Linked DNA regions of Arabidopsis thaliana. The protein of the gene in region 3 interacts with the protein of the main gene of each other region in a pairwise test. Each region holds a gene or a part of one and is shown on either strand. Other genes may lie near its edges.

Region 1 (5,993 bases), 4.4 Mb from region 3:
CCATATCAGTTCAAAATGTTAGCAAACATTCTACTTCAAACTTAACTAAACCTCAAAAGATGTTTCAAGAGCTGTAAATGATTGTACCCTGGCTTCAGCTTCTTCAGCTTCTTTCTGTGCTTTCTCTTCCGCAGTGAGTTCTTTCTTTGCTTCAGGGGTTTCATCCTCACCTCCTTGCTTCTCAGCAACAGGGCTCTTCTCAACCTCTGTGGTAGGTTCCTCAGACGTTCTAATATAAGAACAACAAAAGTTTATAAACAACCTAAAGTTAAAGTCATATGGATAATTAAAGTGAAGACAAGGATGCTTACGGAGGGATATCATCTTCAGTAGTGCCCCAGTTTCCACGACCTCCACCATTACGTTTCATGCCAGTACTATCAAACATCAAGTTAACATAAATGAATCACAAACAGAAGAAGTCAAACAAAGTAGTAACTAAAGTAGTGGACAGAACAAAAAGAAAGCTTACCCATGACCTGTCCTGCTATGGCGGTCATAATTCCTCGGTGGGCGTTCAACATCACCAGATTCCCCGTTGGCAACTCCACCACGGCGAGGTCCTTCACGACCACCGCCAACACGGTATCCACCAACAGACCCACCACGGCTTGCTCCATCAGCATCTTCAGAAGGTCTCCTGTATCCTCCAGAAAATCCATTCTCATTTCCAGGAGCATCATTGTTCCTGTTGTCCCGGTTGTATCCACCATTACCCCTGCCACGGGAAAATCCACCACGTCCACCAGTCCCACCACGACCTCCTTGAGGAGCATTCCTCGACTCCCTCACTACATTCATAACAAAAAGCTTTCAATATATATACTTATCCTAATCTAACAAAGTATTAAGCTTTACCCTAATCTAACAAAGCAGTAGAGAAACAAAATAAGATACGGAAGAAACTAACAAAGCAGCAAATGAAAAAAGCACACACATTTGACTATGGATCTTTCATGACAACCATAAACAAACTTCACTAGAACTAATCAATCAAACACTAGACAAAACACAGCTGAATCTAAATCTGTTAAGTATCAACATAAAGGAAAGAACTTTTACCTGCTTGAGAAGGAGGAGCCGGCTTGGTTGGGAACTTAGCGGCCTTAGGAGGCTGAACAGCAGCAGCAGCTTTCTCGACTTTCTGAGACAAAGCCACAGCGAGCTGGCTTGGATCCTCAGCATCATCTCCTAGAAGATCGAAAGGGTTCAAAGACGCCATCACCAGTCTGGTAAGATCGAGTTAGGTACAAGTCACAGGAGAAATTGGTTTACTTTGATGGGTTTATAGAGAGGGAAATCAGTAATTCATGGCGATATACAGAATCAGAAAAAAGAGGTACTTGAAGAGAGATTATTCGGACAGAGCTGTTTGTGTTTAAGAGATAGCGAAACAAGAACCCTAAGAAAAGATGCGGCAGTGAGAGAGAGAGGTGCGACTTAAAAACCTAATCTATAAACCCTTCCTGAGTTATTATTCTCTGCGGCGGGTGCTATTTAACTGTGTTCTGGTCCTCTCTTTATCTATCCGTGGGCTACAAACTGGTTAAGCCCATTAACAATAATAAATATCAGCTCTCGTTGGTTAAAGCCCATTAATGAAAAGAATATTCGTTCTTAGTCCATTAAGAGAATAACTGGGTTTCAATACTGAATCCTCTAGGCGAGACACGGTTTTTCTCATTCTAAACCTTTATTGGGTTCAAAGTTTTATGTGCTTCAAAAATCAAAGATATAAATTGATTGCTTAAATGAATTTTCTCTAGCAGAGCCTTTGCTTGTCGACCTTAGACAGCTTCATCTTCTCAAGAGTATCAAACAGAAACATTTACAAGTGATTACACACTTAAGCTCACAACATTTACAACAAAAAAAAATCTAAAATAGATAGGTTATTATTTATTGTCGCGCTACTGTTGATGGATTTTGGTTTTAGTAATTGTTACCTCTTCGATCAAGTTTTGGCTACTTAGCAATATAGAACTCAAATTGAGTTAAGAGATTGTATTAGGGGATATGGTGTAATACTTTAATAAAGCCGTGAATGTCATGTAAGAAATGAAACTAGATTGAAAAATTAACACTCACGGCTTTATTAAAGTGTCTATTTTGTTTATGGATTGAAGATATATGGCTCTGTTTAGTAACTAATTTACATCACGGGAACACTTTTACTTGGTGCCTCAACATTTATAGCAAAACTATTCAACTACAAAACACACAAGATCAAACTTATGAAACCAATAACTCATCAACACGTGTCTCATCACCAACCTCACACTTCACCTGCACCACCTCCGACGTCAGATTCTCTGCTTTTCTCCTTCGTTTCAACTTCCCGTTTTCAGACGACGACGTAGAAGAGGACGACGACGACGACGACGAAGAAGATCTCTTAGACGTGATCCGAACCGGGTCAGGTTCACCGGAATTAACCCTCAACGGAAAATTCAATAAAGCGCGGGAACCACGCATCCTAAAAGCAGCTATATCGTAAGCTAAAGCCGCATCTTCCGCCGTCTCAAACGTCCCTAACCAAACCCTAGCTCCATTCTTCGCCGGATCACGTATCTCCGCCGCGAATTTCCCCCACGGTCTCTGCCTCACTCCTCTGTAATGCTTCGCCTTCACTGCCGTCTCCGTAACCGGTATCGCTTTCTTTGGTTTCTCCTCCATCGCCGTAAAGTTCTCAGTTGGCTCGACTTTAACCGCCGGAAAATCAAAAAGACAGCTCAAGTCCGATGATGACGTGTCAAAATGGAAGGCATCTTTGAGGAGTCCGTACACCAACATGTCCTCTGAATCATTCTCTTTCAATGGCAAACCTCCCCAACTCTCTGTGAAACACGAACTCGGTGTTGACTCATTGAGTCGCAGCTCGTTCTCTCCTCCTCCTCCTAGCAAGTGACGTGTTATCGACTCCAACAAAGCGTAGTCGGATTCTATATTGCACTGTCCGTACATTTTCAGAGAAACTAACTATAGAGTTTTTTTTGTTTTGTTGATTGATTTATCAAATATCTGAACTTTTTTCTATGTGGAAGGTGGTTAAGAGGTTTATATAGAGGGTACGAGGTTCACGAACCTGGAAAAAAAGAAAAAGTTTTTCATGTTTTTCCAAATTTGTTTTAGTTTAGTGGGTAATTAAAAAATATGAAAGTTGTGGATTTTTCGTTACTACGAAGGTTCGTGAATTAAACACGTGCGCTTTATCCACAGATATCACAATGAAGAAGGGTCAAGATGACGTCATGTGGTCATGACATTTCTGGAAGAAAGATGCTGATTTGGTTTTGTCTCTCAACTTGTCCCTTGTTTTGTCGTTCGGTTTTGAATACGATTCCCGGTTTTATTAGGCAAAACTAGTGTTTAATTAGTTTGTTAATCGAAAACCAAGGTCTTAATTCATTATACTTTGTTATATCGACATAAATTTTCAACTAAACTTATATTTCATCGCCTTACACTAGAGTAATAATTTTTGCTTAAGTATACTTTATTAGATAGTATTGGCAAGTATATTATATGTTTAATTACATGAAATCTAAGCTTAGATCTTGTTATGGTGGTGAATGAAAAATCTTAACGAGGTGGGCCATAATTATATGAATGGGGACACTGAAAGTGTCTGCAAAAATCGGGATACATTTCTCCTGGTCACCAACCAATTCATATCATCATCTTTCCCTTTCACCTTTCATTTTTACTAATTTCTAATTTAGAATTTTCCTAATTGCCAATGTCATGTTTATTTTAGTACTTTTTGATACAAGATTTCATGATTAAGAAATTCATTAGTGCCACTTTAGTCAATAAATATGGAGTAGTGAAATCATAGTGATAAAGTTTTCATGCAAAGCTCAATTTACAAACCACAGTTTAATCCATATTTGTTGCATTTCTTTTCTTTCTTTTTTGAAAATATAACAGCCTTAGATCTTTTTGTACACCAATGATTTGGAATTTTGTGGATAATTATTGAATTTCCATCTCTTTCTATTGGCTAAAAGTCAATAACAACAATAAGGCTCAAAGACAAATTAATGGTGGGTCTCTCACGTATGTCCACTTGCAAAAGGGACCTCCTTCACGGAAGCATAGTTTAGTCAATAGTCACTCAAACTCTCTAAAAATTAGTTTACTATATATTTTTAATCTATATTCGATTCCAAGAGTAGTTTTGGTTCAAACACATCATTCTGGTCAGATGGTTATTTCAATTTTGCTGTTTTTGAGTGTATATATGATGTTATGTTTGTAAACAAATGAAACTTTTAATTGATTACAAGAACATGAATAGCTCTAAATATGATTAAAAACGAATTTATTTATTTCTTTGGTAAAAGAATAATGATAATATACTTATGGATCCAATCAGGTTAAGTTCCGTTTTGCAATTAAATACTTTGATTAATTAAATATGAAAGTAGTAGTTGAACTTTCGTTTTTATGTTTGAACTCCGCAGCTAATCCTCAAATTATCTCTTTGGACGTTTCACATACATCCACTTTTGCTGTATCTTAGGAATATATTGTTTTCATATTGTTTCTTGTTTCTTTATGATTTGGGTTTATATAATTTTCAAATGTCATGATGATCATCATTTAATCTTAGTTGTTTTAGTCACATCTTATTATGCTTATTATTAGTCGGTGATAGTTTAATTTTAAGACGTAAATCATCTATTCTCATATTATGCTAGAACAAACTTTTTCTTTGTGCAACCTCCTAGAACATATAGTCGCCTATTATCCATGGATCCCAGATACTCCTCCAAGACCACCGAAAGGTTTAATTATGGATAGGAACCCTTTGGTCTACGTTAACACCTTGATTGACTTCCAGACGAAGAGGTGGAAAGTAGATCGTCTACGGGAGTTGTTCCCCCCCCCCCCCCCCCGAGGATATTACTTTGATTTTAGGGATAAAACCGAGGCTAAATGTCTCGCGAGATGGATATAGTTGGACATTGACTAAGTTCGGTAATTATACTGTCAAGACAAGATATGAAGCTGCGAGAGCCCTCTCTCGCCCGTCTTGCGACCACCCTCTTCAGGGACCTAGTGTTACGGCACTAAAGGCGCAAGCGTGGAAATTAAAAACTACACGAAAGCTAAAGCATTTTGTGTAGCAATGTGTGTCAGAGTGTTTAGCAACTTGTCAACGCCTATATTTTCGCCATATTGGTAGAGATAAAAAATGTCCTAGATGTGGGGCGGATGAAGAAACCATCAATCATTTAATATTTGAATGTCCCCCGGCAAGACAAGTCTGGGCGCTATCCGGTATTCCCTCCTCTCCATCTAGGTTTCTTTCGTCTTCTATATACAATAATCTCGATTATCTGTATTGGAGAGCGAATGAGATTGGAGCTTGTGAGGAGAGCTTACGGGTCTTTCCATGGATAATGTGGTATATTTGGAAAGCGCGAAACCGAAAAAATTTCGAAAGTATTTGCGTGCAACCTCAAGACACTTTAGACTTAGCAATACATGAGGAAGAAGTATGGAGGCGAGCCAATAGGAGAGAAGAGCAACCAGAAGGTACCAAGCCAAGTTTGGAAGGGCAACATATAGATATGGCTTCCCCAATCTGCTTCATTGATGGGTCTTGGCATATAACTGATTCGCGGAGCGGTCATGGGTGGATTTTGACCCGTGGGGAAAGATTGCTTCATTTAGGATTGAAGGGTTCACGTCGTTGTTTATCACCGCTTCATGCAGAACTAGACACATTAGTTTGGGCTTTAAAGTGCTTAGTAGACTTATCAATCAAGGAAGTCCTTGTTAAGACGGATTGCTCTGATCTTCTCACTATGGTTAATACGCCGGAGGAGTGGCCCATTTTTGCATCAGAGTTAAAAGATTTCGAGTATTTTAAGAATCAACTTGTATCTTTTAATATTATGCATGTTCCCCGTACTAGTAATATCCGAGCAGATTATCTTGCGAAATGTGCAAGAACTCGCGGATTCTATTTTTCCCATGTAAGT
Region 2 (5,731 bases), on a different chromosome or scaffold from region 3:
GGACCTTCACTGCTTAACTTATCTATTCACTCTTTAGGCCATCAATGGACCAGCTTCATAAAACAGAATCTCTGGCCACAACCTGCATACCAGAAATCTGAGACTATAAACAGAGAAGAGATACATAAGAAAAATAGCACAAACACTTATAGCGGCTGGTTGCAACAATACGGCATCCTTAACGAATGTCGAGCCAAGTGTGGTGGGATGCAAGTCAAGTTGTGGCGCAAAAAACCTTATAGCTTCAGATTATTACTTTGCAAGAATCAATTGCTATAACAAGGCAGCGCTGACGAATCGGATACTCCACGCTTGTGTTCTATTCAGGTCAACAAGTTGCAATGCTATTGGATGCTGCAGCCTGCAAGGCAAGCATGCCTTATGGGGTTCAACGTGTTGACTGTTGGTGTCAAAATAGAAGATAGTAACACAAGTTACACAACAACTAAAGGGTGCAAATTTGCTTTCTTAACAGACGAACCGTATGATATGTTGGGTAGATACAGTCCACAACAGATCCATGCTCTACGATATTCTCACGTTGAGCTAGGATGGTTTATTCACACTACGGATCTTTCGTTTATAGACTCTTTGGGATGCCAGAATTTAACAGAGTACAATAAGAAGGAATTTATTGATCCATGTATGTGATTATAATGTGAATTTAAGATATGCAAGTTGTGCATGCAATAGCGGTTACAACGGCAACCCATACGTCGGATGCCAAGGTCAGTAATTGTATTTAAAGTTTTCTTCTTATTTTTAGATCTCAAAATCAGTTAAATACCGATGTTATTAATTGTCAATTAAATACGGATGTCATTATAACTAGGTCATATAAATACCGAGGTTAACATCTAAATAAAATGACGTTAAAGGCCGTTTTTTTGTAGTGATATATATTGCTTAAATTATAAATTGGTCTAAATAGGTCCGTATGGATCAAAGTAATTCGCATTTAAATAAATGAGAATTTACACAAATTAACACCCCTAATTAGCCATTAGTAATTAATATTACCATCTACACAAGCAATAAAAGAAGTTAATATTCAACACACCAAAATAAAATAAAATAGAAGTTATTCATTTTTTAGTATTTATATTTCCAAGATATATCTAATCATTTTGTTTTTGCCGGTTTGCAGGGTTAGGCTTGTTAATCTTCATTGGTGGAGTATATTGGTTATAAAATTTAGTAGAAAACAAATGAGGCTAAACCAAAAGAGAAAGTTCTTCAAACGTACTGGGGGTTTATTGTTGCAACAACAATTGACTTCAACAGAAGGCAATGTCGAGAAGACAAGAGTGTTCAGCTCGAGTGAGTTAGAGAAAGCCACTGAAAACTTCAGCCTAAATAGAATACTTGGTCAGGGTGGTCAAGGTACTGTGTACAAGGGAATGCTTGTCGATGCTAGAATTGTAGCAGTAAAGAAACCCAAAGTTGTGGACGCAGACAAGCTAGAAGAGTTCATCAATGAGGTTGTAATTCTTTCGCAGATTAACCATAGAATCGTGAAAATCTTAGGTTGTTTCCGTAATGAGACAAATGTCCTTCTTCTCGTCTACGAGTTTATTCCCAATGGCAACCTTTTCGAGCATCTTCACGATAAGCTGATGATTTCACGATGATTACTTGGGATGTACGTCTCCGCATAGCAGTGGATATTGCATGAGCTCTTTCATACTTGCTCTCGGCTGAATCATCTCCAATCTATCACAGAGACGTCAAGTCTACAAACATCATGTTAGATGAGAAATATCGAGCCAAAGTTTCGCGATGGGATATATGGATCCTGAGTACTTTCAGTCTAGCCAATTCACAGCAAAGAGTGATGTCTATAGCTTTGTGGTTGTGCTGGCTGAGTTAATATAGCATATCAAAGTTGTAAATTACTAGACTTATATAGATCTTTGGGAAATTACTAGAATATTAACTATGCCTCAAAAATATATAGTTCCATATACACAATAAACATATAAGATCACAGTAATGAAAATATTATAAAACTTCATATAGCTTTATTCATGTTCCACCAAAAAACATCGAAAGCTACAAGACACAAAGAACAACGAAAAGAAACAACAAGCCAATTGACTCAAGACTTAATTAAAAGACATACGACACCAACAATTAAAAAAAAAAAAAAAAAAAAAAAAAAAAAGACACAACAAACTATTGGAGACTTAAAAAGTCAACAACGAGAGAGATGAACTTATAGTACCAAGACCCATAATGAGGATAGACTTATTTAAACTCCTGGTGTGCGATTCATAATATCAAATCCAAACAGAAGTGTTTGAGTAGGATTAGTCGTCATTCCGTTTTGATCAAAGAACCCCTGGTTTGTGGAGATATTACCACCACTAACAGTTGCTGGAGCAGCAGCATTGCTAGAACTTCCAACATAGAAGTTTGGGTTTGTTTGATGGATTAATTGAATTGCTTTTTCATCAACTATCTTCTTCAAATCTTTAAGAACACGTATCATACAGGTTGATTGACTTAAGTTGAGTTCTAATGGAGACTTACTCCACCACTCCTCAGCGTTTTCGTTTTCTCTTTCATTTTGAGCCCGCGACTGCTTATTCTTTTGTTCTTTTTCTACTTCCGCCTTCACCTACGAATAAATCCACGAATAATGAATTTGTTAAGAATATCCATGAATTGTGAAACATTTATATAATATTCAATATCAAAATCGAAAAATAAGAGAGAAACAAATATTAGATATTGCCAACAATTGACATTTACCTCAGTGTAGGATTTGTTGAGCATTTGAACATGAAGCTTTGTGTAGCTTTCATCAAGGTTTGTGTTGTTGTGTCCTACAACACACCCTCGAAAGTGGTCAAGCAGAACATCAACATTTGGATGACCAAAAGAAAATACTTTTCCAGCTGGTGAAAACACGATCATCGCAATTTTTGCATCACATAATGTGCAAAATTCACTAGCCTTCTTAAAAAGACCAGCTTTTCTCTTGGAAAATGTGACTTGAAGGTTTGATTCCTTAGTCATTTTCACTATCTCTACCTTTCTACGACCAAGAGTTTTTTTCACCATTTTTTAGATGTTTTGAAGAAAGAAAAATTGAATTGATTGTATTAAAGATAATATGTCTTTGTATTTATAGAAAAAAACATACAAAATTTGTTTAGAGTTTTAAATGTAAATATAATTTCCTATTTTATATATTAGAAATAAATTATAAATTACCATTTAAGGCTTAGATACAGATTTACAGATTTTGTCAATAAAAGGTATATAATTATTACAGTTTTATCTATAACATTATCATTTAGCTATTATATTTGTTACAGCCTGTCAAGTTATTAAAAATTTTGGGGATATCTTTCCTATTACAAACCTATCAAATATAGGTACCAATGATTGGTTAAAGGATTTTTTCCATTATTTTCTATAGTCAATATCCTTTTTAACCTTTTTTATTAATCAAACTAATCTTATAAAATAAAATAAATAATTATTAAGTGTTTAAGATTTATATAAAATTCATAATGCATTAATGAAATATTATGTCCAACTTCCTTTTATTATATAGAAAATTGAAAAATATAAATTTAAGTTTGATCGCCGACTTTCAAAGTTCTTATTGCATATTAAGTAATAGTTGTTTGATATTTTAACTGTGATCGCCGACTCTTCAAGTTTTTATTGTGAGATAAACATATATATATATATATATATATTTCACACATCTCTAAGATTGATTCCCCTTTCTAAGTTTTTATTTTTGGATGTTACAAAGAATCCAACTAAATTAGTTCCTTAATACTTTATGTCATCGCCGCCTTTTCAAGTATTTTGTATAAGATTAAAATTATCTAAATAAAAACAATTGTATAATAATTCATTATTAAAATTATTTTCAACTTTTTGTTGTAGTATTAAAAATATCTAAATTAAAAAAGTTGTCCAATAATTTATTTTTAATCGCCTGCTTTTGAATTTTTAGACTGCCGACTTTTGATGTAAAAATAATTAAATTATGTTTTATCTCCGAATTTTCAAATTTTTATTGTCATATTAAAAATATCTAAATAAATAAATGTATAACTCTCTTTTTAGATAAGGTTAAAAACTAGTTTATGTTATCTTTAAATATATTAATCCAATTTAAACATGACACATGACGACATCTTATGTTTTACTTTACAATCACATAAGGTAACAAATTTGAATGCCAAACATTATAACAATAATAAATTACCATTGTAGGAGTAAATTATATATTTTGACAATAAAAGTATATAATTGATTATACTAGAAATCGACTCACTCTAATACTATGCCATAGTATTTTAATTATTTTAAATGTTTATTTTATTTGGAGTTTTATAATTAAAATATATAAATAAATAAATAAAACTTGGATAATATTCTTAAATATTTTGTTATTGAAATTTCTTTACAACAATGTAAATTTTAACTATAATAAGTGGTGGCAATGTTAAATGTTAAGTGACAAAATTTGGAAAATAAGTTAGATATTTTATATTATTATAATGATTTCAAGAACTCATAAACATTTTGATGAATTGCAAGATTTGCTTGCTAAAGTAAACGCCAGAAAACATTGGGCAGATACCTATTTTTCTTTGATTGTATTGGTGGTGCATGTAAAATTGCTTTGTAAAGAACAAATCTCATATTTGTACTCGTTCCTATCTATGTATATCGGATATCAACGTTAAATTTTGCACTTTATCTTTTGCCTAAGTAGATGACTTTTCTCAAGAGTAGCCGAATTTCCTGTATAGTATCTGCATTTTCTTAAAGTGATTTCCTTACTTACAGCTAGAGACTACATTACCTTTATTTCTCCAGAAATTGCATTAACAAATTCTTGCCACCATGGGAATAGGTTATAAAAAGTAGTTTAGCAACAAAAGCCGTATACAATAGTGATATTGTGCCCTTCAAAGAAAATAAAAAAGAGAGTGGAGATAAGAACGACTTAAACAAAACGAAAAAAGGCTTTGGATATAAAGCATATATACACCAGTTTGTTAGTCAATTCACTTTCTCTTTATCCGTTTGTTTAGTTTGAGTATTGAAATATCAGTGACGTTACTAATGTTTCATTTAGAATGATCGCATAGACATAACAGAAGATCACATTTTGAAAATGAAAGTTACCTTTTAAGCTCACTCATGGTGAAGTGAAGGCAATGGAGATCAAGGTCTTTCTACAGTCTTGCAACTCCCCCAAACTGAGAAACCATCTTGAGTATAATTAACTTTTACCGAAATAATGATAGTGAATATGCATGGTTTAACTTAGGGACCTCAATATAAAGTGTAACTAATATCTATCTGATAATGAAAACTAAACTCTAAACACATACATGGAATTATCAAGCATGTTAAGCTACTATACACATCCGATAAATAACCAAGTGTGTAAAAACCACAGAGCAGCAATTGTCTCTGACCCCATAGAAACCAAAAATATATCTACATTACAGAGAGTTATACATTCAGATATCGTCATATATATTGTAATGTATTGGCTTTATTAACCGAGGAATATAGTCAATCATCTTTGAAACAGAACATTAAAATTGAAAATATCAAATCACACAATAATAAAAATCTACATAATTCATATATTAATCCCGGTCTTTCAAGCTGGCTTCTTCAATTGTGGTTTTAAAACCTTCCTCCGATCAAAACCTTCCTTCTTAATTCAGTTGTGGTTATGCTT
Region 3 (6,235 bases):
ATCCTTCTCTCTATTACCTAAACACAACGACACGTGTCTGACTTTTGGAACATCTCAGAGGACAACACTTTTGTGCTGACTAGGCAATAAAGTGCAAAACAAAAGTGTTGTTTTTTTTCTCCTCTTTCATTTTGAGACAGTTGTACCAAACAATTTCTAATTTGGATAAATGGTTTTTTTTTTCATTGAAGACTTCCAGATATTTATTTTACAATTTTTGTCCTTCACATAAAATACCTATTTAATTTTGTTTTGAAGTTGACGGCTACTGAAATTTAAATATCTCTTTCTTCTTTTTAAACAACGCTCGTGTATGTTTTTATTTAGCTACTCGCTTTCTTTGCCACATACTTGGGTCAAAAGAGAGCACTCCAAAAATATATGATCTGTCATTTGAAACCTAACTATTCCTGATAAGTCTAGGTTCATAGTCTAAAGTTCTTGGCCCTCATTTAGGTATAAATAGTCTAAATTTAAAGTATTTAAGCAAAAACAATACTGAGAAGAAAAAAAAAAAAAAAAAAAAAACTACGGTAAAATTTCTAGAAATGTTTAAGAAAAATCTAACTAAAATCAAAAGAATAGCGTATTAAAATACTAATTTTATTGGATTAACTTAATTTGATGAAAATGTCTCTTAATATTTATGGCGATATGTATGTTGGTTGGACTTTGAAATTGTTTTTATAGATTTAATAAGATGAACATTTTGTTCTTGCTTGAGAGTGGCTGGGTACACAATTTTTTTCACTTTGTTCATGCTAAAATTCAGTTTTGTCTTCTTATATTTACATCTAAGTTTATGTTTGATTATCTGAAACCCAAATTATCAAGTATTTTACGATTTTTTGAAATAAACGAAATCTGTTTATTTCCTTATTCAAATTTTATAAAATTTTGTAAGAGTGATTTGATTGAAAATGGACAACATTTGGAGACATTTTCAAAAAAAAATGTTATAAAAGGTTATTTTAAAATGCTTTCAAAAATATCAATATAATAAAGAGCGTGATTATATTTTAATTCAGAATTATTTAAGTGATCGAAAATATCATAAATTTTGTATAATTAGAGCATTTGTTCTGATATGCGACATATTTTACTATAATTTTATAGGAACCATATAAATTTAATTTTTTAACTAATTCCAGTTGCACATTTGTTTAGATGAAAATGATTTGATTGCTGCATGATATAATTTATTTACATTTAAGCATATATTTTATTCTATTTTGATGAATTGTGTGGTATTTTCGTACTTAAATTTTGATATATTGTATGTAATTGTACAACATACTCAATCATATGTTATTACTTCTAATAATTTGAATATGGACATACTCAGAAAGGTATCAAGGGCTCTTTCTCTAGCTATTGTTTCTCATATAATCTTTTCAAAATCATATATCATCACCAACTATACTCATCATTCTCGGGTACTATGAGCTCTAACTAGTGGAATGGTACTAGAACTTTGACACACCGTCTAGTTGAGATTATAGAAATTAAAGATTATGTTATATATAGTAGAAACAAAGTAGGCCAAATTCTTATAGAAAAGAATAAACAAAATTAATATAAAAGATAAATGAAAAAACGGTCTTGAATTATAAACAATTTGCTAGGTGTGATTCAACATTGTCTTTATTCAATACTTGTTGGGTCATAAACATTCAAATTGCATATTATTGTTACTCTAGTATTCAAATTGCATATTATGTTTTATCTAAACTAACTTATATATTTATTTTGATAAACATGTCATATGATATTAAACTTATTTTCAATTGATCATCTTCTAAGTTGATGCATTTTAGTATTTTATATTCAAATTTTGAGATCTTAGTATGTAATATATTTTCAGGTTTTTACTATTCATCAGTTTGATGATGCAAATATACATAGTACGAATAAAATGAGTGAAATTGTTTAATTATATGATCAGGAAGAAAAAATAATATTCCAAAATCCAAATTTTAGTGGGTAATTCTTAGCACAAAAACAAATTTTGTTTCCAAATATATCACATATTTTTCAATGTTCCACAAATAGCATTAATTGTTGAAATTTGTTATGAATAAGAATATGTTCTATAACATTATATGAATTAGAATTATCAATAGATAAAGTGTGTCAACTCAAATCGCTAAATTGTTGAAAACAATTTAATAATATATTCATTTAATATATTCTCATGTCAATATGATATGATTAGATCTATTTAGTGAGATCTTATTTAATTGTTAATTCTAATAAAACAAAAATAGTGATTATATTACTAATAAATAATATAATTGTTTAATCTTATTTTATGGAACTGTATTTCTCAACTTCAATTAAATACTGTACCTAAACCTAAAATTAAATATGCAATCAACTTGATTAATAAAAAACAACAAAATGGGGTAAGAAGTAAACAACGTTGTTAAACAAGACACGCGCTCACCAGTCGCGAGTTTGGCAATAATCATGAAATGAGCTTCTTTAAAAAAACTTTCTAGTAGATAAATTAAACAATTAAAAATCTCCGACAAGATTTAACAAAGAACAGATAATATCTTCTCCGCAAAGACAAAAGTGAAAGCGAAGAAGAAATCCTCCACGTGTCATTAGCATCTTTTAACCTGAGCCACATGATACTAGTTTCTCGAAACCCCTCTTTACGCTTTTTCACCCAAATTTTTATAAAAAGAAAAACATTATGCTTACGTGGCTTATCTTCTTCTTGCTCTTTTAAAGTAACCCCTTGACTCTGCTCCTTTCATAAACAACAACTCTCTCACCAATCTCAAAACAATTCTCTCTCTCTTTATTCTTCTTCTTCAGCTTCAGATTTCAGATCTTAAATCTTCAAGTCTTCTTCTTCTTCTTCTGCAACCATGGCTATGCAGGTTTGAGATCTATCTTCTTTGTTATTCTTTATGCAATCTTGATCTTGGTTTTGTTACTGTTGTTATGTTTCAAGTCTTGTGGAATCCAGACAGATTTAACCTAAACTTAGGTTTATGTCCGAGAGAAAATAGGTTATTTTGTTATCTAATTTCAAGTTTAATCTCTTTGTCTGAGAGAACTTGGAACTGAAGATTATTCGATTGTGGCAGGTTAAAAATTGTGTTAATAGACCAGGCGATTATGTGGGATATTATGGTCGGTTGTTTTAAAGAGAGATTACTTCTTTCTTAATGTATTGATCCGTATTAGGTAAGAACATGTCTCTAATCCCCTAATTATTACTGGTGGTCTACCTCTTCTAGTTGCGTATTAATTAGTTTTATTAGACTCTTTGTAACATTTAATTACTCTTACAATATATTAAGAGACTAATTGTGTTTTCTTACTTTGTGATTATAGGAACGTTGTGAGAGTTTATGTTCTGATGAACTTATATCTTCCTCAGATGCCTTTTACCTCAAGGTACTAATTTTGTTTCTTAATCTCTTGTTTACTCTTGATTGGTTTTGAACTTAAATATGAGGTTAATTTAGGGTTTGTTTTGTTTATAGACAAGAAAGCCTTATACCATCACTAAACAAAGAGAGAAATGGACAGAAGCAGAGCATGAGAAGTTTGTAGAAGCATTGAAACTCTATGGCAGAGCTTGGAGACGAATCGAAGGTGTGTGTGCTTATCTGACTTTAGAGAGTCTAATGCACATTCTAATCTAAGTTTGATGAAGATATAAGAAAACTACTTGGACCCTAGTAATGAGTAGAGATCTGACTTTTGTTGGTTCTTCTATGGAACAGAACATGTTGGAACAAAAACTGCAGTTCAGATTCGAAGCCATGCGCAGAAGTTCTTTACTAAGGTTTGCCTTCTTGCAGACCCTTATACATGAAAAAGTTTCAACCTCTTCGTGTTAAGCAAGGTCTAATTCAAGTTTTTCTTATTAGGTTGCTCGCGATTTTGGTGTTAGCTCTGAGTCCATTGAGATCCCGCCTCCAAGGCCAAAGAGAAAGCCGATGCATCCTTACCCTAGAAAGCTTGTGATTCCTGATGCAAAAGAGATGGTATACGCTGAACTAACCGGATCCAAGCTGATTCAGGATGAAGATAACCGATCTCCAACATCGGTTTTATCAGCTCATGGCTCAGATGGATTAGGTTCCATTGGTTCAAATTCACCTAACTCTTCTTCAGCTGAGTTATCATCTCACACAGAGGAATCATTGTCTCTAGAAGCAGAGACCAAACAGAGCCTTAAGCTCTTTGGAAAAACTTTTGTAGTTGGTGATTACAACTCTTCAATGAGTTGTGATGATTCTGAAGATGGCAAGAAGAAGCTATACTCAGAAACACAGTCTCTTCAATGTTCTTCTTCTACTTCAGAAAACGCTGAAACAGAAGTGGTAGTGTCGGAGTTCAAAAGAAGTGAGAGATCAGCTTTCTCTCAGTTAAAATCGTCGGTGACTGAGATGAACAACATGAGAGGGTTCATGCCTTACAAAAAGAGAGTAAAGGTGGAAGAAAACATTGACAATGTAAAATTATCATATCCTTTGTGGTGAAGTGTTCGTTTGTGTCAAGTCAGTTGTGTAAACTCTTTTGATCTCAACATCAGATTATGTGTATAATGTCAGAGTATTAGGGAAAGTTTTTTTGGATTAGATTCGTAAGATCACTCCAAAGTTTCGTGTCTTTCCATATAACCAGTTAGAAATTGAGATCCTTGTACTTAAACATTTTTATTTGATCAATCAAATCTTCTTGATAACTCTAAATTGTTGTACATAATAGTAGTCTCTATCAAGCATTTCATTCGAAAGGATTAACAAAAAAGATTAGGTTTACAAAAAATACATCAAAAGCAAATGTTTGAAACATAGAAACAAGTAATGCATCATAAACCCTAAGACTAGCTTCAAGTCTCTGTGACGGTTTCACTCTGTTTCAAGATCTTCCTCGTACGGTACTCGTCGACACAAAGGACACGACCTCTGACGCTTAAGCCACTCAAAGATACAATTTTGATGGAACAAATGGAAACAGTCAGGTAACAGAATGATGTTATCATCATGACTCTCCGAAAAGTCCTCCAAACAAATCGAACAAGTGGTTTCTTCTTCATCTCCCAAATCAGTCAATTCCATTGTTTGTTCCTCAAGCAATCTTTGAAACGTATCTGTCGACCTAACAGCAATAGACGAGAACATAACATCTCTTGTCACTTCCACGTATAAGGACACACTAAAAGGTTGGGGAATATGAGCACAATCCAAAACGATCCTTTCGCTCAACAATCGACAAAACTCAGTATGTGTGATGAACTCGTCAAGGTCTTGATAGATGTGATGTGAACTGAGACATGATGGTTTCAATTCGATTTTAGTCATAAGTGGAGCCGCGAACGTTCCCAAACACATTACGACACCGTTTTGATCTTCAGCTAACTCGTTGACCACATCTTGTAGATTGACGAACACGGTGTTTCTAAACCCTTGATCTTGTGGTAGGATCATTGCTGTTGTAGTAATCTTTACGGACACCAAATTACTATATGTATTCATGGTGGAAGAAGAAGAAGAAAAAGAAGATTCAAAGCCTAACTTTTGATATGAAGAGATAAGATTGTGAAATCAAAGAGAAGAGATCGATGAAATTGACTTAAAGTGAGGCTGAGTGAATTAATATATATATAGAGAGATATTTTACGTTTCGACGCTTCAGTTGGAAAAAAGGAAATCATAAACAAATTTGTTGACGAAAAAGGAAATTAAGGAAAGGAAAACTTTGACCAAAAAAGAAAAGAAAAGGAAAACATGAATTTAGTAAAAATAAAAATAAAAAGGAAACAATCAGTTTTTTGATAAAAAGGAAATTTAGATTAACAAAACGCGTCAAATTTTTTATTTAATTTTAATTAACTAAAGTCAGATAACAAATCAGACCGTTCCACATTATTTCGCAACATTACTTATACTAGATGAATTTCCATTACGCTTGGATTTGTTTTAAAAATTGTTAATAAAAATATGTTAATTGTTTTTATCGCTAATTTATATTTATTTTTTATTTATTATTGTATAACTAATAGAATTAGACTCATAATAGTATTTATGTTTCGACAGTTGTTCCAAATACCACCACCTCAGTGATAATTTAAGTGAGTGTATATTCAATGTTATATATATCGATATTGTGAACTTCAGTTGTATCTAATGTTTTCATTTTTTAATTTCCGTATAGGTTATACATGATGATGGTTTTGTATCCTATTTATGGTACTTGTCCCTTG
Region 4 (6,152 bases), on a different chromosome or scaffold from region 3:
CATAAAACATTTTTGAGTTAATGTCATCTACAGTGATTATAGTATACTTGAAGGAAGGTGAGGACATTAGGTTTTGTCACAATATTATATAGATAAACATAAAATACCATACTAGATTTGAATTCCACACATAGTTTATGGTCTACAACTAAAAGTCTATTCCAAACAATCAGAGACAAAATTAAAATCATTTAATTTCTTCAGCCAAATAACTAATCTCCATTCCTCGTTGATGGCTTTATATGTTCGCAAATTATATTTTTAAAAAGAAATTGGAAGACCAAGAACAAGAAGCAACCTCAGTATTTTCCCAGGAAGGAGCCTAAAATTCAAATCTCACGTCTTGTTGAATTTTAAGCTTATGAAGTCAAAAACTGAAAATGTCAAACTTTTCTTCTTCTTCAAGGCTCTTCACTTTACTATATATTCTAACTCCCAAGTCCACAAACTACTCACAACAAATTTAGTCATCTCATAAATTAGGGAACACAAGAAAAATAAAATAAAAAACATTTTTGTTTTTACTACTCAAAAATACCACTCAAAGAAAATGATGATGAACAAAGTTGTTTTGGGTTCGTTTCTGTTTTTCATGTTGGTGAGTTCGAATTTTGTGGTGGAGGCTCGTCCTTTGGGTTTAACGAAGGCTGAAGAGAACCTCGTGGCTAAGTTCTTCGATGGTTTGTCACTTGGGGCGATTAAGGAGTCGGGTCCTAGCTCTGGTGGTGAGGGTCATCGGTTCGTGGACCGGACTGAGACGCTTGAATATGGTAAGCATTCAGGTCCCAGCACGAGTGGACCCGGTCACTAAGTTCCCGACCGAACCAGTTAATGTGGCTGCTTTGGTCTAGCTCCGGAAATTGATTGCTTTGTTTAGTTTTTTTTCAGATTAATTATTCAGATTTTTCTTTTTATGCTTAGAACTTGGGAAAATCAAGAATTGGAAGAACCTCATTTGTTCTCTGTAGGAATATTCTTTTGTTAACTTATTGAAATTCATTTGATAATAATGTACAATGTAATATATATTGTAATTAATTTATTATTCTGATTATGTGAATGAATAACTGGATATTCATGTTTTTAATGAGTTTCAATAACAACATAGTTAAGCTCCAAATCCACAAAGCAAAAAGAAGCGACTTAACTTTAACCTTCTTCTGAGTGATAATCACCTAAGCTTACCTCTTTAACAGCTACATCCACTTCAACTTTAACCAAGAAATCGCGATTTCCGTGGAAATTGAAGTTAACCAATTCTTTAGATAGTTTCTGAAGGATGTTGTTCCGGATGGAGCTGTGGAAATTTGGCTTGGACAACAAGTTATACACATATCTAGTGCATATTTCTTCTCCATTATATAGGTAAACATTAGGAGCCTTACGTGCAAAGCAATTGAACCCATTTATGGACATCATCAAGCAGGAATTGATGCAAGTGTGACTCCTTGTTGTATTGTATGCCAAATTGTGAAAAGGAAGCATTAGTTGTAGCAGCTGCTATGGAGAAAGGTACCATACATCCTATTGGAAGGTATTTGCTTGTCAAACATCAGTAATCTTACACCGCTTGATAGTTATTAACACAATCAAACTCTTTCTTTTTTGCAGAGCCACAGTATTGGGAAGGACCTCCCTTGTGCTTTGAGTATTTCCCCGGTAGAGGCCTTACTGCTACAGTTAGTTGTATTGAGGTGATCTGTTCTACACTCTGTATCATTCATTGAATATCTATATATGATGTTGTCTCTCACACTATAACCTTTACTGCGATGCTATAGTCGGTAACCGAAGGTAACAAACTACGGAAATCGTCACTTGGTTCAGTAGAATTCATTACTTCACTCTTCGAATCGCAAGACCAGTCTAGAGAGATCAAGAATGCTGTAAACTCCTCTTTGTATGGAAATGACTTTGTTCATGCTCTTCTTTCACTTTATCAAAAGGTAACATTGATTCACCTCGAGGACCAGCCTCATCAACCCTTTTATAGACCAATTTCATTAAATCTAAGACATGTCATGATCAAAATCAATACATTTATTCAGTTTTTTTTTCGAATGAATCAAATCTCAAATCATGAAATTGGCTCTTTCTCTGCATTTGCTACACAATTCTTCTCTTTTCTCACTCACTACTCGATCCTACCTAATCCAATAAACTCTCTAAACCCTACATTACGACCATTAGTTCCTTGCACCATACACGAACTTGCTCCTCCTCCAGCTCCTCCGCCGTTTCCTAGCTGTAAATCCGCCATGTAACTCCTAACCTCCGTCTTAATCATCTCCTGCACCACCGTCATAAAATCTCCACCAAGTCCAGAAATCTCTCTTTCCTTCTCTTCTTCTTCTTCTCTCTTCACCGGAAACAACTCCGGTGGAGTTGTTGACTCATTGACCCAAGGCAAAGACAACCTCAAACAAGTCATCGGATCTTTCTCCTCCTCCTCCGGCGATGATGACTCAATCACCACTCCACCAGCTCTCGCCGTCGGTTTAAAAACATGACAAGAAGAAGAAACCGGTAAAACAGATCCACTAGATTGCGATTGCTCGCTGACGTCAGATCCCGTTGGACTTAACGCCGTCACCACAACAACTCCTCCTCCACCACTCGCCCTCCGTTTTAACGGTTTTTCATCAGTTAAATTACCATCATACCCTCCATTACCACCGAAATCACAACTCTGCCCTTCCTCTCCTCCGCCGCCTCCGCCGCTACATTTCCGCTTCAGCGTTGAGTTCCAGTGATTCTTAATCGCGTTATCAGTGCGACCATTGAGAAGCCGTGCAATCGTCGCCCACTTGTTACCAAACCGAGCGTGCGCTAGTATAATCGTATCATCTTCCTCCGCCGTGAATCCACGGTGCTCTACCTCCGGAGAAAGCTGATTACACCAACGGAGACGGCAAGATTTACCGGAACGTCCAGGGATTGATTTGCTTATCAGAGACCAGTTCCTTGGTCCGTGCTTCTGAACCAACGATTGTAACAGATCGTCTTCTTCAGGACTCCATGGTCCTTTGATCCGATCCATTTCTTTCCGGGTCGAACCAGACATCGCTCGGATCTTCTTTTTAATTTAAAACTAATCAAATCGTTTAAAACGCGTTTCTATTGTTTGGGGATTTTGGAAAAGAACGAAACGATTTTTGTTGAGAGGATAAGTATGAAGAGGAGAGAGTATTTATACGAGGTGTGATGGTTAGAGAGGTCACCGGTTCTACCGGTAATTTTTTATCGTTAGTTAACAACAACTTAATTTTTTCGTAACTGTAAATTGGATTATTTACGTGCATAATTATGTTTTCAACTGAATCAAATTGAAATAAGTTAACTGACACCAAATTAAATATGTAAGTATATGCCGTTTTGTTTTATTATTTTAAAATCCAGAAAACTGAAATTTAGTTTGAACCAAACAAAATAAACTCTAAACTAAAATTTATTAAAATATATACTATTAAACAAATTATTATGTAATGTTTTTTTAATGAATGTTAAATTATAACTAAACATGTACTGTATTTCTAACTATAACTAAACAAAGATATTAAACTAAAATCAAATCATATTACATCAAATTATAAATGCAAACCTTTTTCAAAAAATAAATTCAAATTAAAAATTCTTATATATTGTAGTTATGTAAAACTATTTAGAAAAACTACATATTTAAGTAATTTTGCGTAATTTCTAAATTGGATTAGTTATGAAGAAGATGTAACGTGAGTAGTCTGATACGTATTTGAATATTTAAAAGAGAAAGAAAAAAGCACGTCAGGGAGTGGCGGTGCGATTGGGGGAAATGCGTCTGAGAGAGTGAGGCTAAAATAAAGAGAGAATCTTTCCAAGAAAACGGTTGGGGATTTGGGAAACAGCTGTTAGTGGGGACAGCTGTCAACGAAATATGTAACTGTGTGTGATAGAGAGAGTACATTTTGTGGTACTTGAGAGCGTTTCACAGGTGGATCGTTTTTTTATTTAATTTAAATCATTTCGTTTTTAAGTTATTTCCTTTTTTAATTATCTTTTCTTTTTGCATTTTGAAGGTTACATTCTTTGTTTTTCCTTTGCATATCAGTGTTGGTATGGTCGAATTTTTGAAGATTTCTATTTAAACGTAATTAGATGCACATTAATTATCGTTGTCGTATCTAAAAACGTATTTAAGTTTTTTCGGTCGTTTTATTTGTCGGATTATAAAATCTTTAGTTTAGGTTGTGAAAGATTGACTCTTATCAAGACCGTCTTTACCCCATGGCAAATTAGGCAAATGCCATGGATCTATTACTGATTTTAAAAACAATCATAAGCATAAAAGGCCCAATTTTCTTAAAACAAAATTTTATTAAGAGATTTTAGTTTTTATTTTTATTTTGGCAAAGGCTCAATTATAGCTTGAGACGGGACTGTTTCTTATATCGATAGAAAGTAATTAATGTTATCTTTGGTTTGATCGCATATACTTAATAAATTTTATCCGTAGTTATTTCAAAATAAAGGATTTATTGATTCTGAAGACTAATGTTTTTTAAAGGGTTTGTGTTTAGTTGCTTATGATTTTAGTTGTTGGGTTCGGTCTCTTTCGATTTAAGTTTAAAAACTTTTGTTGGTATTTTCATTAGATTTAGAAAAAATTACGTTTTCCTTCGACTTTAATTATAAAATCATATATGTCGTGTGTCGTTTTAGTTTTTCTTTTTTGAACGTTGTATTTTGTATTGGTTTCACAACAAATTTAAGAATATTTTTATTTTTTATTTTGTTGTGTGAAAACACATTTTGTTTTCAATTTAAAAGCACTGAAACACAAACGTCGCTTTTTTCGAAATTGTATTTTGCGTATTGAATTGACGTATCTATACATATTAGAAACGTATAAGTAAAGTATCCATACTTATTGAGTGATTCCAGTTTCTTCTGTTTTTGTTTTTGATTTTCTGATTAAAAGAAAAATAAAACGAAGATAAGGATGACGTTAAAAGTGGTTTAGGTTTTTTGTTGGATTCTTCAGAGACTTTTCTGACTAAAGAAGCCAGCCTGTATGCCAATATTATTACTACTTTTTATATACAAAAATCAGTTATTTTGGATATTCAAAAAGATACTAATAAGATTCTTACGTAAATCGAAAACGACAGGATAGATCGATTAGAGTTTTGAGAGCCTATCGTTACTATTCATTGTTTGATATAAGCTAGTTTAACATGTCTAAAAGATTTATGTTGAAGTAAAGTTCATTTCCTTTGTCGTTTTATTTGTTGTCAACATGATACTCATATACAAAGGAATACGTTAAACCGTACATCAGCCGTGTACCGCACAAAAAACGTCGCCTGCACATGTTCCAATGCCAACATGAACCTTGTCGTGAGCTTCCTCATTCTCTTCTTTCAAGTTATAGTTAGATAAGGTAAGAGATATCGAAAAGAGTTCTTAAGATTCTGTTTAATTATCGAAGCCAAATTTTATAGATTAAACAAGAAGGTGTCATTAATGGAGATACGGTATGAGATTTTCCCTTATTGGTCCATCGTATCTACTACCAAATTCTTCCTTCCCATAATTGTATATACTATTACCACTAATCATTTATGTAGTTGGTATTTTCTTATTCAAATTAAATATTAATGACATTGACCGAGTAACATGTATAAGTGTATGTGTGGTCCGCAATCGTACTTGTATATCTCATTTACTAACTCTGCATCCCTTCACGTGAGATTTGATTAATGTTTCTCTCATTATCCTGATACCCTACACGTTTTCTGAATAAATCTACGAACATGAAGTGGTATGCATTGGAAATTTTTAGGCGTATGAGTGTTTTTTCCCCCATTATATGATATGTATCTCAATGTGCTTTTGTTTTTTTATGATTTTCAACTATAGTAGTTTTTCATGATAATCAATATGCTCTGTCCCTTGATGTATCATACAAGTATTACTTTGTGATGTAGTGAATGTAATACATTATTAAGTGGTACGTCCATCAAAGTATTATAAAACAATAGTTTTTTCCTTTAAGAAAGTACAACTTTTCATTACGAATTTTGAGGGAGAATGTATTGTAACTCAATTCTTAAAATTATATTCTTTCACGAGAAAGGAAATTATTCCGTTCGGTCTGTGTCAATTCCATTATA

The links.
Region 1: the proteins of RVE2 (region 3) and ERF2 interact in a two-hybrid assay, tested with the Arabidopsis thaliana proteins (one large-scale study listed by BioGRID).
Region 2: the proteins of RVE2 (region 3) and AGL23 interact in a two-hybrid assay, tested with the Arabidopsis thaliana proteins (one large-scale study listed by BioGRID).
Region 4: the proteins of RVE2 (region 3) and MYB70 interact in a two-hybrid assay, tested with the Arabidopsis thaliana proteins (one large-scale study listed by BioGRID).

Annotation. Positions count from the first base shown.
Region 1 is NC_003076.8:19,169,791-19,175,783, forward strand, and holds ERF2 (ethylene responsive element binding factor 2), read right to left. Parts: upstream 3,167-5,993; 5' UTR 2,965-3,166; coding exon 2,233-2,964; 3' UTR 1,853-2,232; downstream 1-1,852. Other genes in the region: AT5G47210 (Hyaluronan / mRNA binding family), read right to left, coding at 88-229, 312-377, 473-791, 1,063-1,222.
Region 2 is NC_003070.9:24,278,672-24,284,402, reverse strand, and holds AGL23 (AGAMOUS-like 23), read right to left. Parts: upstream 3,067-5,731; coding exon 2,755-3,066; intron 2,621-2,754; coding exon 2,252-2,620; 3' UTR 2,170-2,251; downstream 1-2,169. UniProt on the Arabidopsis thaliana protein: Probable transcription factor that controls female gametophyte (megagametogenesis) development and chloroplast biogenesis during embryo development.
Region 3 is NC_003076.8:14,749,617-14,755,851, reverse strand, and holds RVE2 (Homeodomain-like superfamily protein), read left to right. Parts: upstream 1-2,763; 5' UTR 2,764-2,879; coding exon 2,880-2,891; intron 2,892-3,351; coding exon 3,352-3,414; intron 3,415-3,503; coding exon 3,504-3,615; intron 3,616-3,746; coding exon 3,747-3,808; intron 3,809-3,893; coding exon 3,894-4,508; downstream 4,509-6,235. Other genes in the region: AT5G37250 (RING/U-box superfamily protein), read right to left, coding at 4,881-5,507. UniProt on the Arabidopsis thaliana protein: Positive regulator for cold-responsive gene expression and cold tolerance. Part of a regulatory feedback loop that controls a subset of the circadian outputs and modulates the central oscillator. Negatively self-regulates its own expression.
Region 4 is NC_003071.7:9,902,761-9,908,912, forward strand, and holds MYB70 (myb domain protein 70), read right to left. Parts: upstream 3,273-6,152; 5' UTR 3,065-3,272; coding exon 2,135-3,064; 3' UTR 1,746-2,134; downstream 1-1,745. Other genes in the region: AT2G23270 (uncharacterized protein), read left to right, coding at 551-811.